Canis lupus familiaris: one gene and its partners. The protein of the gene in region 1 purifies or fractionates together with the protein of each later gene. This does not show direct contact. Links are inferred from orthologs where the notes say so. Each region holds a gene or a part of one and is shown in the gene's direction. Other genes may lie near its edges.

Region 1 (5,217 bases):
CTTCATTTATGTCTCTAATAAGTGTTACGGGGACCACAATGCCATAGTTCTTTATTACTCTAGAACAAATACTAGGTGCTGGTTGAATTTGCAAAAAACATACCTAAAAATTATTTTTAATTATACTGGTGGAGATGGCTTTAAATTGAATGTGGGAGGCATGGAGATCTATGTGCTTGCATTCACGTTTTTCAGGAAGATGAAAGTGTTACAACTTCCTGTTGATTTCCCTTCAGAGGGTACTTTTCATTCTCAGGCTCGCTGTTCTGTTATCAGTTCAATTCTCTTGTGAAGTTTTTTTGATAGTTCCTTCCCATTCTTTTTGTAATCATTTTCACCTAGTGAAGCAAATGAGATAATTTTGCAGATTGTACCACTTTACTTTTAAATTAATCCATTCTTTTTTGAGAGAATGATTCTAATAGTGTGGTCAAGTATTTAGAAATCAGCAGGCTACTAACTTCTCCTTAATTCAGTCTGTTCCGTTGATTCCCTGATCACTTGCTGTGTTACTTAGGATAAAATTCTTCCTCCCTACCCTCCCTTCCCCAGTGGGTTTTCTAGTCTCCAGCACTGAGAAAGAAGAGTCTAAGATTTTGCTGCTATTTTAACAACTTTGGATTCTAAAAGCCTCATTTAATAAACTGTTTATGTTCCATATGAATGTGATGGTGTATTTATTTTTGATTTGTATTTTTCACTGCATATTAGGATTACTGATGAATTAGGCCATATATGAGGACTTATTTGGAAAGACAGGCCATTGAATAAATGAAGCATGCCATGCTTTTTTTTTTTTTTTTTTTTTTTTACTGTGAATTATTATTCTAGAATGATTCCTGGGGGAGGGAGGGAGTAGATTGTAAAAGAAAAATGATTATCTAGATGAATATAAATCCATAGACCTACTCATCTGAGAAATATTGGTGCTACTTGTAGAATTAAATTATGTATTTCCAAGTTGTGTTATTTTAAACTGTGTTAAATACTGAAAGGAGCTATCTGGGGTAAATTTGTAAATTTAAACAAATGATCAGTACTAGTTAACTGCTGAGTAATTTTCATTAAACACAGTCTGTCTCTTGTCTCTCCCTCTCTGTGTATAGGTGTGTATATGTATGTGTGTATATTTATGTGTGTGTGTGTATATAAGAATATATATGTATCAAAGTATTCTATAGGCTATTTTAGAATACATAAAATATTTCAGAATACATAAAAGCGTAATCATTATTCATCACTTTAGATTGCAGAAATTTTGTAACCATACTGAGAAATAGCTCATGATTTCACCAATTTAGAACTAATTACTTAACTGGAGTGACTCTTGGAAAGGCATACTTTTACTGCACACCAAATGCATGCACCCTGCAAAGCGCTCTTGGTCTGTAGAGATAGCCTTAGCAACAAGTGTGGTGCCTCATGTATGATTGTGTTGTGATTGTCTGTGGGTGGCTGAATCATCTTTTCCTTTAAGCTGTTCTTTTATATGGTTGCTTTGAGGGTGAAGTGGCCAAATGTCTTCTAGTTCTCATACTGTCAAGAACTGTGATTTAATTTGATGTCTCAAATTATTTTGTCTCATTCAACAGAATCATGGATATATCTTAATCGATTCCTCTCTTAGAACACTTAGTCAATTGCACATAGAAACACACACAACAGGGAAGTGTTAGGAGACAGATCATGGGCACAGATGACATTTTAACAGTAACTTAATAATTATTGGTGTGTATTGTGGGATCTCTTTCTTCCAAATAAGACTCAGACCATTAGGTTGCTCATACTTTGTTCTTCCCTTTGAGCTGAGGGGATTTTTATATTTGTTTAATTCCAATATATGGTAGTGAGTAACCAAACATTACATATGTAATAATGTTTTTATCAGTCACTAAGACTTTTAGATTCTTAGACTAGTAGGTACTAATCCTCAAATGGTGAAATTACAAAAGGCGATTTAAATGTTACCTCCTCTGATGACCTTTGCCAGTTGGTGGACTTGACCTTAGGATAAAACATGCTGTACTGTACTTAACAATAAACATTAAAATGAAGTTAAAGAATGACTCTGTAAATATTCATGAAGGAAACAAGTTGAAGTTGCAAAATAACCAGTGAAAAAGGACCTTTTGCTTTCAAGTTTATTTCAGTTCAATCATAATTTGGTGTAAATGACATCTTCATGAAGAAAAGGATCTGAATCTAAATTTCTTTTGGCTCATTTTCTTCTTTGCAGAAAGTTTCTTAGAAACGTGAGACTTGTTTGCCTGAGCTAAACTCTTGTGGTTTTCATTTGTCAAGACCTTGCTACTATTTAGGTGCTTGAGCCTGCGTTGCTGATTCCCATCTTCTCCATCTTGCAGGAGCTTACAATGCACTAGTAGAGATAAGATGTGTATATAAGTAACAATTACAGAGAATTACAGAGATAAATGGCCACAGGACAGATAAGAATTACTGTAAACGTTTAAAAGAGGAAGCTGTCTATATGGGTATCTTTTTCCTGGAAAGCCTATATAGGGCATGGCAAATTGTATTCTGTTGGAAGATATATTATCTATATCTGAACTATTGGAAATACCAACTTTAATTTTGGCAGGATTCTAAATTTGAGTATCTATATGGATATTATCTCTAAATATGGAGATTATGAAAGAAAATCTAAGCTTTGGACAGGCCCAAGATAGGTTCATAAAAATTTTTAATGTGATCATCATACAGAATTTATGCTAGCCATCAAGTCAGTCACAGCACCAGAACTAGGTAAAGATTCCTGTTCTTTGTACTGTGGTCAGATAATGTTTGCCACTTGTCAGGGTATCTAGAATATTCTTTCTGTCAGTCAAGATATTAGTACTCTAGACCAAGTACCCTACTAATTTTTGCTTTTTTATCTCCTTATTGGTCTCTAACAGTTCATTCAGGCTTTTCTTTCAACCTGCAGTTTTAGCACACATTGATGAGGTTTGAACCATTGACATTCGAACCTGTCACTGGCTTTCTCTTATTTGTCTCTAAATGGGAATAATGGCAACAAATTTTTCACTTTTGGGAGACCTAACAAGTTTTGAAATTTGAGACGCTTAGGCACCATCAAATTCAGATGCCAAGAATCAAAACTTTCCTCTTTTTCTTTGCAAATGTACAATGCACTGAGGTTAACCTTTCTTTGATCACCTGCGCGTGCACGGTGAACCAGCCGGCTTAAAACAGAAAACTGCCAGAGCTATCCACAAGTGCATGGTCTTCTATGCTCCACACTGCGATATCTAGTGAACCATCAGGCAAGCTCTGTTTGAAGCATTTCTAAGCATAGTTTGTTTCAGAAACATAATCCTGACAACCAGAAACAATTTATTACATTTATTGAAAGGATCCATTTCTGCACTTCATTTATATGGTTGTGCTTTTTGTGTTGGTGTTATTTTCAAGTGTATTAATAACGATTTAATGTACTCCTTTATCAGGAAGTCTTTGTAAATATAATACCAGCATTAAAGCAGTAGGGCATTGTGCATGGTAGTAGAAATATTACATGTGTAATGATTTGCATTCTTAATGTTCCAGAACCCTGGGGTTATTAGTAAAACGATTGGAGAAAGGTGGTAAAGCTGAACAAGAAAACCTTTTTCATGAAAATGATTGCATTGTCAGGATTAATGATGGCGACCTTCGAAATAGAAGATTTGAACAGTAAGTGTGTGCTGGCTGCACTGCTGTTCTTTCATGCTCGAGGCATGAGAGAGTGTAGTCCATTGAAATGCTTCAAACAACATGTCTCTGTCTTTATACTAGAGAGGAGTATTTTCTGTCATTATCTAGCTTTTAAAAATTTAATCAAACTACAGGTAATTACTACCATTAGACTATATTTCAAAATGCCCTCTGACTGACAGAGCGCTTCTTAAAATATTATGGGCCCAATTTATACTTCACAATTTTGCTACTTCCTCACCTTTCAGAAAATTTGCCAGCGTGCTGGGCTTTATTATATTTTAACTCACGTTCCCGACTTTGTTGCATGTAATGATTCATCTTATAAATAAGCAGAGAAAGCTCCTTTGAACTACAGTGTGGTCCACCCAATTTTCTTTATCCTGATTTAAGTCATTACTCAATTAAAAAGATAAAAGTTGTCCAGTTCCTCTAAAATAGGACAAAAGTGAGCAGAAATCATAAGGATTTCGTGTGTGAGATCTGAGTCATGAATGAGCGTGAGCTGGAGCAGTTGCTCAGGCTGGTCGTGGACTAGCACCAGGACCAAAACTCTTCACATTTTAAGTCACTGAGGCCACACTGGTTTTCTTAAGAATTTTGCATACACTTGTGTTAATTTTGCTGATAATGGATAGTTGATTTCTATAGTTTTCTACATATATTTATTTCTTCAAAAACTCAAGTGGTTCCATGTAACAAAATGTAAGTTTTAAATGTATTGGATAATGTTGTAGAGACAAGATTGTATTTAATTTCTGTTCCTATTGCAATTATAATACCTCTATTGTGCTTAAAACTATTTAATAATTTGTGATTGAGTACCCGGTATTTTATCTGTAGTTATAGATAATTTTCTCATTTTTATTAAGAGAATAAAAAATTTATATTTGGAGAAAACAGCTATGCTTCTATCAGAGCTTGCAAACTTGATTGATAAATGGGATATCAGGATTTTGTTTTTCCGTTTCAACAAAGTCTGGCAGTTCTTGTTGCTTAATTAGTATACTTAATTAAGCTCATAATATCTTCTAGTCTGCCAGTCTTAATTTGCTAATTTTCCATTCTTTCTCAAACCCAGAGCACAACATATGTTTCGCCAAGCCATGCGTACACCCATCATTTGGTTCCATGTGGTTCCTGCAGCAAATAAAGAGCAGTACGAACAACTCTCCCAAAGTGAGAAGAACAATTACTATTCAAGCCACTTCAGTCCGGACAGCCAGTATATGGATAACAGGGGTGTGACTAGTGCTGGACTTCAGGCGCTGCCCAGAGCACCCAGATTGAACCACCCACCCGAGCACATAGACTCGCACCCCCGCCTACTACCTCAGAGCACACACCCCTCCGGAAAACCGCCGTCAGCTCTGGCCCAGGCCCCACAAAATATATTTAGTCCAAATGTAAGCAGTGGTTATAATACGAAAAAAATAGGCAAGAGGCTTAATATCCAGCTGAAGAAAGGTATGACCCACCTTGTTTTGTTTTATGGAGTTTATT
Region 2 (5,664 bases), on another chromosome or scaffold:
CTTAAACCGCTGAGCCACCCAGGCTGCCCGAGATGGAATCCTTTTCATCTGTACTTCCACTCAAAATGGCCAGGAAAGACCTGAAATTCCCCAATAAACACTTGGTGAATTGAAAAGCTCCAGGGGGAAAGATGGGCTTCTCACCTTTGAGCCCAGGTGGGGCAAAGTTAGCACGGAAAAACCACACTCCCTGGGCACCAGCGCCCAGCAAAGCCATTATCCGAGTACCTGCCCGGAGTCAGGTACCATGCCACCTGCTCAACAGCGAGATGATGTGGTCCTGACTCCTCGGCGCTTTCATTCTAGGGCAGAGGCAGAGGAGTCCAAGAACATGAAAAAACGGAAGCTTGTCACCCACATGCTGGGAAGGATGTACGAGGAGTCAGGAGGGGTTTGAAGTAGGCAGATGAGCGCAAGGCCCCAGGACTGCGGTGGAATGAACCGCCCCCACCCCCAGGTCAGGCCGGCCCCTCTGCAGGTGGGGGGGGGGGGGCACTGGAGGGTCTCCTCCTCACTTCCCTGGCGCGGCCAGTACTGTTTTAAACAGCCTCCCTGCGAGAAGGAACCGCGCTCTGGGGCATTTAAAACAGAGGGTTGTCTTTTATCAAGGACGGAGTTCTATCGCCCCACGGAGAAAAGAACATTGTCCAGAGGCTGCCGTTGGTGGAAACAGCAAACGGCGAAGAAACGGCTGGAGGAGGGAGAAGACTTCGCGAGCAGAGCCTAACGCAAGCCCTGGGAGGCCGATCCGAAGTCCTGCGCGCGGCCATGCACCCTGGGCCTCCGCCCACTTCCCCTCCCTCGCGGCGCCCTCTCGACCCCCTGGGACCCGCGGACGAAACCGAGCCCGCGGAGCCCCGATGCTCTCCCCCAGTAACTGTTGCAGAGGCGGGAGAACTTTTATTCCGTAGCCAGAGTTGCAGACGGACTCCCGAAGCACCCAGCCGGGCGGTGGAGGGGAGCCTCTGCAACTGCAGCCCCCAAAGCGGACTGCGGCGGGGGCGGGCGCGAAGCCAGCGGCACCTCCGCGCCCCGGGGCCCCGCGGGGCAGCGCGGTCCCACCCCCAGCCCGGCGCGCCCTCGCCCGACCCGGCCCTCGGGCGCGCGCCTGCGCCTGCGCTTGCGCAAAACGCCCCCGCCCCAGCGCCTCTCCAGGTGCGCTCGCGCTTCCGGCCGGCCTTCCCGAGGCGGAAACACCAGAGCCCGCGCATGCGCCTTCCAGCTCTCCTGCTAGGTCCGGGGAGGGGGGCCCAAGGCTTCAGGTGATCCCGCCCCTCCCTCGCAGCGCGGGACCAATCGCGAGGCGGTAGGCGGGATTTTCGCGGAGGCGGCCCGCCCACACGCTCGCGAGGCGGGTTTCGATTGGCTGGCGGCGCGGGCGCAGGTGCGCGCTTCCTATTGGGTGTGGGCGGAGCGCGAGCCGCCGAGGCTTCTGCCGAGGCTGCAGGTGAGCGCGCGCGCGCCGCGGCTCCCTCCCGGGCTCGGGTGCGCGCGCGCGGGCCGGCGGGGGAGGCGGCCGGGAGCGAGCTCGCGGCGCCCGTCGCCTGTGCTCCGCCCCCTCCGCCGTCGCGGCCGCCGCCGAGGCCCGGAGGGAGGGAGTCGCGTCCCCGCCCGCCGCGCAGCCAGTCGGACCCTCGGTGCCGCCGCGAGCAGCCGGCCGAGCGGAGCTCCGCGCCCAGAAGCCGAGTCGCGGCCGCCGCTCTGCAGGTGCCGGTGCGGAGGCGCCCGGGCCGCAGCCGCGTCCCCGGCCCCGGCCCCGTCCCGCCGGCCGCGACTCCCCGCGCTCCCGAGGGGCGGCCCGGCCGCAGGAGGCCGCCGCGGGGCCCGGCCTCAGCATGAACCGCAGCCACCGGCACGGGGCGGGCAGCGGCTGCCTGGGCACCATGGAGGTGAAGAGCAAGGTGCGCGGGCCCGGGGCCGGCGGGGGCGGGGGCGGGGGGCCGGGGCTGCCCGCTGGCTGCGGCCGCGGGGCGTGCGGGGCTGCCCGGTGCACTCGCCGAGAAGCGGGCGAGGGTGGGGCCTTGCGTTTGCTCCCGGCCCAGGTGGGAAGGCCCGCGGAGCCCTTGCCCTCCTGGGGTCTCAGCCCGGGGCGGGGATGGCAGGCGTCTGAGCGCAGTGTGGGCGAAGGCTTGGGGACGTTGTAGCTCCCGGCCTGTGAGTAGCAGGTATTGGAAACACGCGCGGTCACAAAATGTTACCCCTTCCCGTGGTCCAGGGGTGCATCGAGCGGTGAGACGGCGAGCCCAGGGCCCTGAAGAGCCCTTTGAAAGTTGGCTTTGCTTCCTGCTAGGGATTTTTCCAGCACTCCCTTTGGTATGCGTCCTATTTATAAGAATTAACACTATCACCTTTCGTTTGAGTAGCCCTTTACAGTTTGAGGCTGGATGCTCTCTTCATTCCATCGTGCTGCCTTTTCACATCAAGTGTTTTCCTTCCTGACCGACGGTATGCCAGCCTGCTGAAAATTCCGTCCATATCCACTGAATTCCTAAATTGCAAGGCTCCCCGAGCAGGGGAGTCTGTAGGGATTAGTTAGAGAATGCTTTCCAAAGGGGGTTTCGAGCTGGAATTTGAAGGTGATCGGCAACCACAGCAGCATTTTCAGCAAGCATTTTGTGAGTTGAAGAGCCAAAGGAGCTCAGATAATCTAGTTTGATTCTCTTGAGAAAACGGAGGGGTCAGAAAGGTTATGACTTCGCCAGGCTCTGCTTTTATGACAAAACCTGGAAGGCTTTTTACAGATAACTTCTAGACTCTGTAGAACAAACGTGTTTTTGAGAACATTAAAAACAGTTAACAAAACCAAGACACAAGAATGGGAGAACAGTACGAGCAGATCAGCTTCAAAAATAACGAAACACCATTGAGTGTAAGACTACAGAGGGCAAATCCAAAATCAGGGAGTGGTTTTGAGTGAAGTGGAGTAAGAAAAGCTCCCCGGAGCCTGGGGGTGGAATGGTTTTATCTAGAGCTGATAAGCAAAGTTCTGTGAGTTGCTGGGAACTGAGATCTTCACATCAAGAGTATCTACATTCATTTTAAACATCGTTTGAAAATGTTATTTGTGACCTCTGGAGCAGGATAGGCAAGTGGGTTCACAGAAACCGTTCTGCTTAATAAGAATAGAAATGTAATTATAGCAATTTAAGGACTGTGTTTTTTCTTTCCTGTGCCCTGCACAGAATCACTAGAGCAAATTGAAGGGACATGGCTTGAGCTAAGGGTTAAGATGACTCCAAATATACAGGATTTTTCCTCGAGCGGTATAGCAGCGGTAGTGGTTCTGTGCCCACTGGTTGAACTTTCTCAGGCATTTCTGCCATAAATCTAGTTTGCGTCTGTGGGGGTTGAGGTTAAGAAAAGAAAAACACTTATGATATTGCATAATCTTAAAATTCAGTTTGTGGTCCTAATCTTGGTAACAAGTCTTGAACTTTTTATCGTAGGAAAAAAATGAGTAGAGAGTCTAGGTGCACCGATAAATACAATCAAATGGTAATTTATCTCCTGGACTAGAAACCTGGAGCACTTTTGGGACTGGAATTTCAGGCTTTCTGCCCTTTCTCTTCTCTCAACTGACCTGTGAATCTTTCCCACACTTACATCTGTACTACACGTTGTATATTTGAGCTGCCATGCTGCACTCGTAGTGAACCATGTCTCTTAAATAGAATCGAGGCATTCTGAGGACCTGCACCAAATGAGGTGTGGTTCCTCTTGTTGTTCTAGATCTTGCTGAATAGACACAATATTAGGTACTGTTTTTAGCATCTGTGACACTGTTTTAAATAGATATTGTTGAGACATTTATTTTTAGTGGATTAAATGAAACACTTGTCATCTTTATCATTTAAAAAGTATTTAGACAGATGTTTGAAACAATATTTCTCTTTGTCCCTGCCTTGGTGATATCACAGCTTTTTTCAAAACTGATTGTCGGGAAGTTGTAACCACAGCCAGGTAACGTGCAGATCCACATTTCAAGATCTCTTTTTCTTCTGCATAGAAAACAGTGTCAACTGTATCATCTGAGCAGAGCTGGGGAAGTTCTTAATAATGAAGGTGATATCCCTCAGTAACCTTGGAACAGTCTTTGGGCCGTACATTTTCTACTTATTATTCATGGGCAAACAGCATTAAAATTAACTTTGCATTTCTCGAATGTACCAACAGATGCTGGGAGAAGGCCACATCCTGGGTGGCCAGGACAAACTAGATTGGCCTAAAGAGTTATAAATGGTTCATGTAGTGAAAAGTTGTTGACTCGGTCTTAATTTTATGTCTGTCTTAGTATTTTTCTTCATGTAGTAAAACGTTCTCTTAATCCTATTGTTTCTCTGCAAGAAGCATAACAGTTTCTCTTGTTTGGTTTTGTTTTCTGCTAACATTTGCAAAAGGGCACATCTGCTATGAAGCCATACAGTTTTTCATTGTTTTTATCATAACCTATAAGGAAGAGAAATACATGTTGAGCAAAGGATTTTCACCCAAAAGCTTTAACAAAGACGCTGGAGCCCTGCGATGTTCAATTGTTAGATGTTAACTTTCATTCACGTACCTGGAGAAGTGATAAACCCTGGCATGAATCAGAAAGCACTAGGAGCTTTGCATTGTGATACCAGAATAAAGAACATGGAGGAGAAACTGACTTTTGATAACATCATAAGACTAGCTCTGATATGAAGGGTGTTGCCGAGTTTTTATTTACTTTGAAACATGAAGGTGTGACTAAACTTTTTGAGAGTTTTAGGTATGAGTCACCTTGTGTTCTTGACAAATGTTGATGTTTATTTTCAGGAATGTGTTTTGGAAACTTTTATTTATTAGAAGTAAGAGGTTTTAGCGAGGTTTTAATTTAATACTAATGAGTAGTATTAGTACTGATGAACTTCTTCAGTGTAACAGATACAGTGACTCCAGCTATGTCATAGGTCCTAGTGAAGATGAATTAACACATTTGTAACCTGCTCAAATTATCCTGACGGGGACTTTCTCTGCATGATGCTTAAGGCTGTGTTAGTACTACATTACATTAGGATACATTAGTATTTCTTGTTAATAGTAGGTTTTTTTTTTTTAATTTTTATTTATTTATGATAGTCACATAGAGAGAGAGAGAGGCAGAGACATAAGCAGAGGGAGAAGCAGGCTCCATGCACCAGGAGCCTGACGTGGGATTCGATCCCGGGTCTCCAGGATCGCGCCCTGGGCCAAAGGCAGGCGCCAAACCGCTGCGCCACCCAGGGATCCCAATAGTAGGTATTTAGAGGAAAAATGATTTCAGTGGTTGAACACATTTGGCAAACATTTGTTTAAAATTAAAAAAAAAAAAAAGAAAAACTGGGATCCCTGGGTGGCGCAGCGGTTTGGCGCCTGCCTTTGGCCCAGGGCGCGATCCTGGAGACCCCGGATCGAATCCCACATCGGGCTCCCGGTGCATGGAGCCTGCTTCTCCCTCTGCCTGTGTCTCTGCCTCTCTCTCTCTCTCTCTCTGTCTCTGTGACTATCATAAATAAATAAAAATTTAAAAATAAAAAAATAAAATAAAATAATAAAAATAAAAACTAACCGTAGAACCAAACTGAATCTTTAATATTTAGTTTCCACAGTGATTCCTAAGAGTGTGATTATAGGTTTGTAGCATTTTCTAAACTTTTGTGACTG
Region 3 (5,783 bases), on another chromosome or scaffold:
AAGAAAACAAAAACACTACCTTGAAAAGATATCTGCACCCCCATGAAGCATCATTTACAATAGCCAAGACATGGAAACACATATTTACTATTTATAGATTCTTACTGATGACAAATTTAATATAGGCAATAAGCCTCCTGTGAAAATGAGGCCAATGAAGGATTTTTCAAACCGCTAAGAAATAAGGACCCAGAAGAAACAGGTGTTCACACCTTACCTTTCTTCAGTCTAACGCTCTCCCAACTGAGCTATCTCGGCCGCTTCGCCTTACCGTTCTAAATTCCCATTTCCCATACAATGCAAATTTCCTTTCCAATAGCATTATATAATCTTTCAAATTTGTCACAAGCATACTACATTTTCTATGAATCCAATTAAAACTTCACAATCTCACTTCAGAAATAGTTTATATTCCACAGCTAATTGATTCATATTTAACATGTGGATGTAAGTCCCGAGTTCTCAAAACTCTGATACCAAGGTCTTTCAACAGTTTTTATTAGGAGTCTATAATCCACGTTTGTAGCAGTTAAAGGACATCACCGCAGACGAAGTGTCAGACATAACTCTGATGAGTCAATCCTCCAGCCCTATTTTATCACAGTAAAGCAGGTTATAGTCTTGATTATTTCAACCTTTTTTAGCATGTGCTGGTGCCAGGACCAAAGCCGGAGCTGGATTCATTGCTCCTTGTAGTTGCACTATGTGCCAGAGCCAAGATCAATGGAAGATCAGAGACTAAGCTACAAAGACGGATCCTTTATACTGTCATCTTTGGCTAGCCAGTGATAGAAAAGAATAGAAAAAAAAAAATAGTGCTGATGGATGGCTCGGATAACCACTGTGCACCTGTGCCAGGCGATGGCGATATACCAGGGCCAAGGTGCGGTGGGGGGGGGGGGGGGGGGCTGCAAAGGAGGCAATGCCGGTCTTCCACACCTTCTAGCTGAGTTTCCTCCTTTACTACATTTGTTACATATGTTATTAAAGTCTTTCCATAAAAGAGCGTGTGCCCAGCCGGTTGACCAGCGTCTCGTCCTCCAAAAAAGGCACCGTGCACTGGAGCTGGTGCATGCAGCTGGAAGGGGGACTGCATCGGGGAACCCACTGTAGAGATGGGGACGAAGCCCAACCGCTCGCCGCGACCTCAGGTGCCCACGCTGCAGCCGGGGTTCCAGGCGGGCGAGCCCCTGGCCGAGGCTGCGGGGGGCGCGCACGCGGGGCTCGGACTCGGGCGGCTGCGCGGGGGAGGCCGGGTTCCGACGCCGAGAGCCTCCAGGCCCGGCCTCCCACCGGGACTGCAAATCCCAGAAACCCGGCCCAGCCCCGCTCGGGCCGGCGGCGGGCGGGACCAAGTCAGGCCGCGGGGTGAGATGCCGCAGCCCGGGCCCCCGCCCGTGTCCCCCGTGGGGAGGGCGCCCTTCGCGGACAGCTCTGGCCTTCCCTCAGTCGCGGGGGCCGCGGAGGCCCCTCCCCGGCCCACCGATGTGCCACCCGGCGCCGCCATCCTCCCGCCCCCCTCTCCGCGGCCCCCGTGAGGATGGTTCGGCCCGGCGTCGAGGCTCCTGGAGATGCTCGGATGGTCGCGCCCGCCCTCCCCCGGAATGTGCGCCTTTGGAGCGGGCGAGGTGGGAGGGCCCGGAGGGGAGGCGTGCTGGGCCCGGCGGGAGGAGCCGCGCGGTTCCGGCTGCCCCGGCCAGGCGCCCCTCGGGTCGGGCGGACCGCGCAGGTGGCCGAGCGGGAGGCCGTGCGGGAGGCCGAGCGGGAGGCCGAGCGGGAGGCCGAGCGGGAGACTCTGCAGCGGAGCGCGCCCGCCCCCGCCCCCGCCGCCCCCGGCGCCCGGCGCGCCCCCCGCAGCCTCGGCCTCCGCGCTGGGGCGGGGGAGCAGGGAGATGCCGACCCAGAGGGACAGCAGTGCCATGTCTCACGCGATCGCGGGCGGCGGCAGCGGGGACCATTCCCACCAGGTCCGGGTGAAAGCCTACTACCGCGGGTGAGTGTCCCGGGAGGCGGGGAGGGCAGCGCGGGGCGGGGGGCGCCGAGCGGTCGCGGGGTGGCGCTGGGGCGCCCGGGTGCAGCCGGGTCCGGCCCGGGTCCGGCGAGGGTCCCAGGGCGGAGCCTGGGCATGGAGAGGGTCCACCTGGTGGCTTCGAGACCCGCCGCCTGCCAAGAGGCGCGCGGGGGCTTTGCGCCCTTGAGCCCGAGTGCGTGTGGGGTTCAGGGCTGGTTCCGAGGGGCGCCTGGGCGAGCTAAGGTGGCCGCGGGCTGAAAAGCCAGGACTCCCGTAGTCCGCCGGCTCCGCCAGCAGCCCAAGGCCCGAAGCCTCGGCTGCTCCGGGGCCGCCCCACCTTCGCGGCGCAGAGGAGTCGGCGCGCTGCTCTGAGCCCGCCCGGCTGCCTGCCTGCCTCCCTCGGAGACGCGGAGTTACTGCTCACGGGTAAAGTTGCTGCCTTTTTAGGGCCGTGCATTAGGCACTCAGGTCTCGCCAAGAGCAGGTCGTATAGGTGCGAATTAAAAATTTGTGAACGCTCCTTTGTCAGTGTTGGCTCAGGGACCACTTACTGGACAGGGGGAGACGCTGCAAGGAGAGAGGGGGGCGAACCGAGGCGTGGTTTTAAAATCTGTGCTATGTACTCAGATTCCCCAACTTAGAGCTCCTGTGCTTACCAGGAGGGACCTAGTGCTAATACTGTTGTATCAGATCATACCCTGTAATCAGTGACCTGGAGTATCCCCCTTCCCTTGTTTTCAGTTGCGTTTTGAAATTTGAGATGATTACCTTTAGTAGCATTAGAAAGGTGAAATGGTCGTGTGAAGGCCAAGATTTGAGGCAAAGGGTTAACAGCAAAGCCAATGGCTTTGGCCTGTCTTACTGTTTGTCCAAGCAGAAGTAAATTGCTCAAAAAAAAAAAAAAAAAAAAGAAGAAAGAAAAAAAGAAAAAAAAAAAACCCTCAAGCACTAGGAGGTTGAGACTGCAGTGCATACTTGTACATTCCTGAGAGGATCAGTGAAGATAGCAAACTTTCAAAACACCTCTCTTGTTTTGATTTTAAAGGAAATAGGAGCCGTCAAACGTCTTATTGATTTGATGTAACCACTTAATCACTCGCTGCTGTGTAGCCGCTGACCTCTTGTTTGTTAGCCTATTCAGCATAGTTTACAAGAATTATTTTGGACAGTATCCGCGTTTTTGCTTAAATTGATCAAGGAGGTCTTCATTTTAAAAACAATACTAAGAAGTGTGTGTATGGTTTTTTTTTTTTTTAAGTTTGTAGTGGTCACAAGCGCAGTTTTGACATGAATATGGTCAATGAACTTTGCACTGTGGGGGAAAAAAGCTTTGCTTCCTTTACCTTACCTTTAATTAAGAGATTAATTCAGTTGCCATTTTATAAAATTGACAGTCCATGAGCTGTTAGGCAAAGAGAATGAAATATATAGTATGTGTTTTTTTTTTTAAGTGTTTCATTATTGACAGTTAAAAAAAACGGGATTAAAAATGAATATACTCACATGGTAGGAATGTGCAAATTGTACAGAGGTATAAGGTGAGTGTCTCTCGTGGCACCTGGGTGGCTCAGTGGTTGAGCTTCTGCCTTTTGCTCAGGACGTGACCCTGGGGTCCTGGGATGGAGTCCTGCATTAGACTCCCCGAAGGGAGCCTGCTTCTCCCTCTGCCTGTATCTCAGCCTCTCTCTGTGTCTCTCATGAATTGACAAATAAAATCTTAAAAAAAAAAAAAAAAAAGTGTCTTCCATCTCATCCTCCCCACTTCCAGAGGTAGACTGTTAACAGTTTATTTCTGTTCTTCTGGAGGTTTGCCTTTATTCTTTATTACCTTATTCTCTTTCATGATTCAACTTTAGGTGGTACCTATTGGTTCCTTCCACTGAAAGATGAGAAATTGGGTGAATGCTACCTTTTGCTTGTCCTTCTCCTGGTTGGTGCTTTTCAATTTTTGATTCTTAAGCTATTATTTTCAGTTCTCTGGTCTGCATTTATGACTTTAAACAATGCAAATTCTTGGCTTATTAAATTTAAATAGTTTCCGATGACTTTAAATATGAAGAGGAAGGAATTAGGTTTCTTTCTCCTGTTTTTATTCGTTTGACAAATCTAAAAAGGCCTAGTTAGTAAATTAAAATCATTATAAACTTCTTTAGAAAGAAATAAAAATATATTTAAGGAATGTTAGGTGTCAAATTTTCTTGGCTTATTACTATAATTATTGTTATAAAAGAAAATAGAAGAGGGCATATACTTTTAGTGCCTGACTAAAATTTTTCTAAGACATTCTCAAGTTAACATTTTGTTTTTTAACATCTGTGAATTTTTGCTAAGGAATGAAAGAATCTAGCCCTTGACCTTTATTGCTTTTTATTCGTTGAAAGCTTTCTAATAGTGCCTTCATTTCAAGCCTCATTTAAAGACAACATCAGCACTCTCTAAATTGTTCCAATTTCTGTCCCCTGAAATTAGATGTTAAGATTATATGTTTATTAACAATAGTCTAAACTGGTGGTTTTGATATTACATAGTCAGCTGCTCATTACTACAGATGAAACTAAAATGAGTCACCAATGAGGATAGCTAATAAACAGGTTGGCTAACTAGAACACCTACCTCATTTTTAAATAGAAAAATCCTTTATATCAAGAAATGTAGGGTCAATCTGCATTTGAAAAAAGTTTTTCTTTCAGATCTTATGAAAGGCTGTTATCAGAAAGCCTTCTTACTCCCTTCTAACAGTATTTCTTTCCAGTGAACGTTGAATCTTGGAATAACCAGAATTTTTTAGCAAATAAATTGCGTTCCCTCTTTAAAGTTGTGTATGGTGTTCTCTCATTCAGTTAAATTTGTTCTTAGGGCAAATGTGTTGTCTCTCTAGATATAACAGACATTTAATTAGATTTTTTCTAGTTTTTAAGCAGGAGATTAATAGCATCGAGAATCCGACTGTATTGGGGGTGCTTGGGTGGTTCAGTTGATTAGTTGTCAGACTCTTGATTTTGGCTCAGGTCATGATCTTGGGATGGTGAGATTGGGCCTAGCCTGGGGCTCCATGCTCAGAGGGGAGTCTGCTTGAGTTTTTTTCTCCCTGTCCCTCTGCCCCTCCCCCAGTACACACATGAGCTTTCTTTCTCTAAAAGAAATCTTAAAAAAAAAAAAAAAAAAAAAGAATCTGACTGTATTGGAGACCACCTAAGAGTGCCTGTGTCATGTCCTATATACCCTTCTTTCCTTAACATGGGAGCTTGTCAGTGAGTGGCCTTCCCTCTTCAATCATTACCTAGTAGTGTTAGGAGGAAGAGAAACAGGTTTTGTTGGTTAGTGATAAATTGCTATTGTAGGTGCTTATCCTTATATTAAAGTTACTTGATATTATGGGATAAGAGTTTAACAAGGAAATGTCCAGACTACGCATTTCATTTTACATTATAAATGTATGGGAAATTTTGCAAAAAGGTTGTAAACAGGGGGGATCCCTGGATGGCTCAGCAGTTTGGAGCCTGTCTTTGGCCCGGGGCATGATCCTGGAGTTCTAGGATCGGGTCCCACGTAGGGCTCCCTACAGGAAGCCTGCTTCTCTCTCTGCCTGTGTCTCTGTCTCTGTCTCTCTCTCTGTGTATCTCATTAATAAATAAAATCTTAAAAAAAAAAAGGTTGTAAACATGCTTTTTAAACCACTGCCATTGAACAGTTACAACAATCTAGAGGGTTCTTTTGTGCGCATCTATAAATCGGAAGAGATTAACTCCTTGTATATTTGGAAGGTAGAGCT

What was found.
Region 2: the proteins of PARD3 (region 1) and PARD6B purify together in Homo sapiens (affinity purification with mass spectrometry; 5 studies listed by BioGRID and IntAct, counting the BioPlex papers as one, with this or other methods). This does not show direct contact. The link is inferred for Canis lupus familiaris from reciprocal best matches to the Homo sapiens genes PARD3 and PARD6B.
Region 3: the proteins of PARD3 (region 1) and PRKCI purify together in Homo sapiens (affinity purification with western blotting; 5 studies listed by BioGRID and IntAct, with this or other methods). This does not show direct contact. The link is inferred for Canis lupus familiaris from reciprocal best matches to the Homo sapiens genes PARD3 and PRKCI.

What each region holds. Positions count from the first base shown.
Region 1 is NC_049223.1:2,751,140-2,756,356, forward strand, and holds part of PARD3 (partitioning defective 3 homolog), read left to right. Parts: intron 1-3,567; coding exon 3,568-3,693; intron 3,694-4,795; coding exon 4,796-5,181; intron 5,182-5,217. UniProt on the Homo sapiens protein: Adapter protein involved in asymmetrical cell division and cell polarization processes. Seems to play a central role in the formation of epithelial tight junctions. Targets the phosphatase PTEN to cell junctions.
Region 2 is NC_049245.1:37,728,707-37,734,370, forward strand, and holds the start of PARD6B (partitioning defective 6 homolog beta), read left to right. Parts: upstream 1-1,773; 5' UTR 1,774-1,835; coding exon 1,836-1,901; intron 1,902-5,664. UniProt on the Homo sapiens protein: Adapter protein involved in asymmetrical cell division and cell polarization processes. Probably involved in formation of epithelial tight junctions.
Region 3 is NC_049255.1:35,023,116-35,028,898, forward strand, and holds the start of PRKCI (protein kinase C iota type), read left to right. Parts: upstream 1-1,892; coding exon 1,893-1,993; intron 1,994-2,151; exon of another isoform or gene 2,152-2,437; intron 2,438-5,783.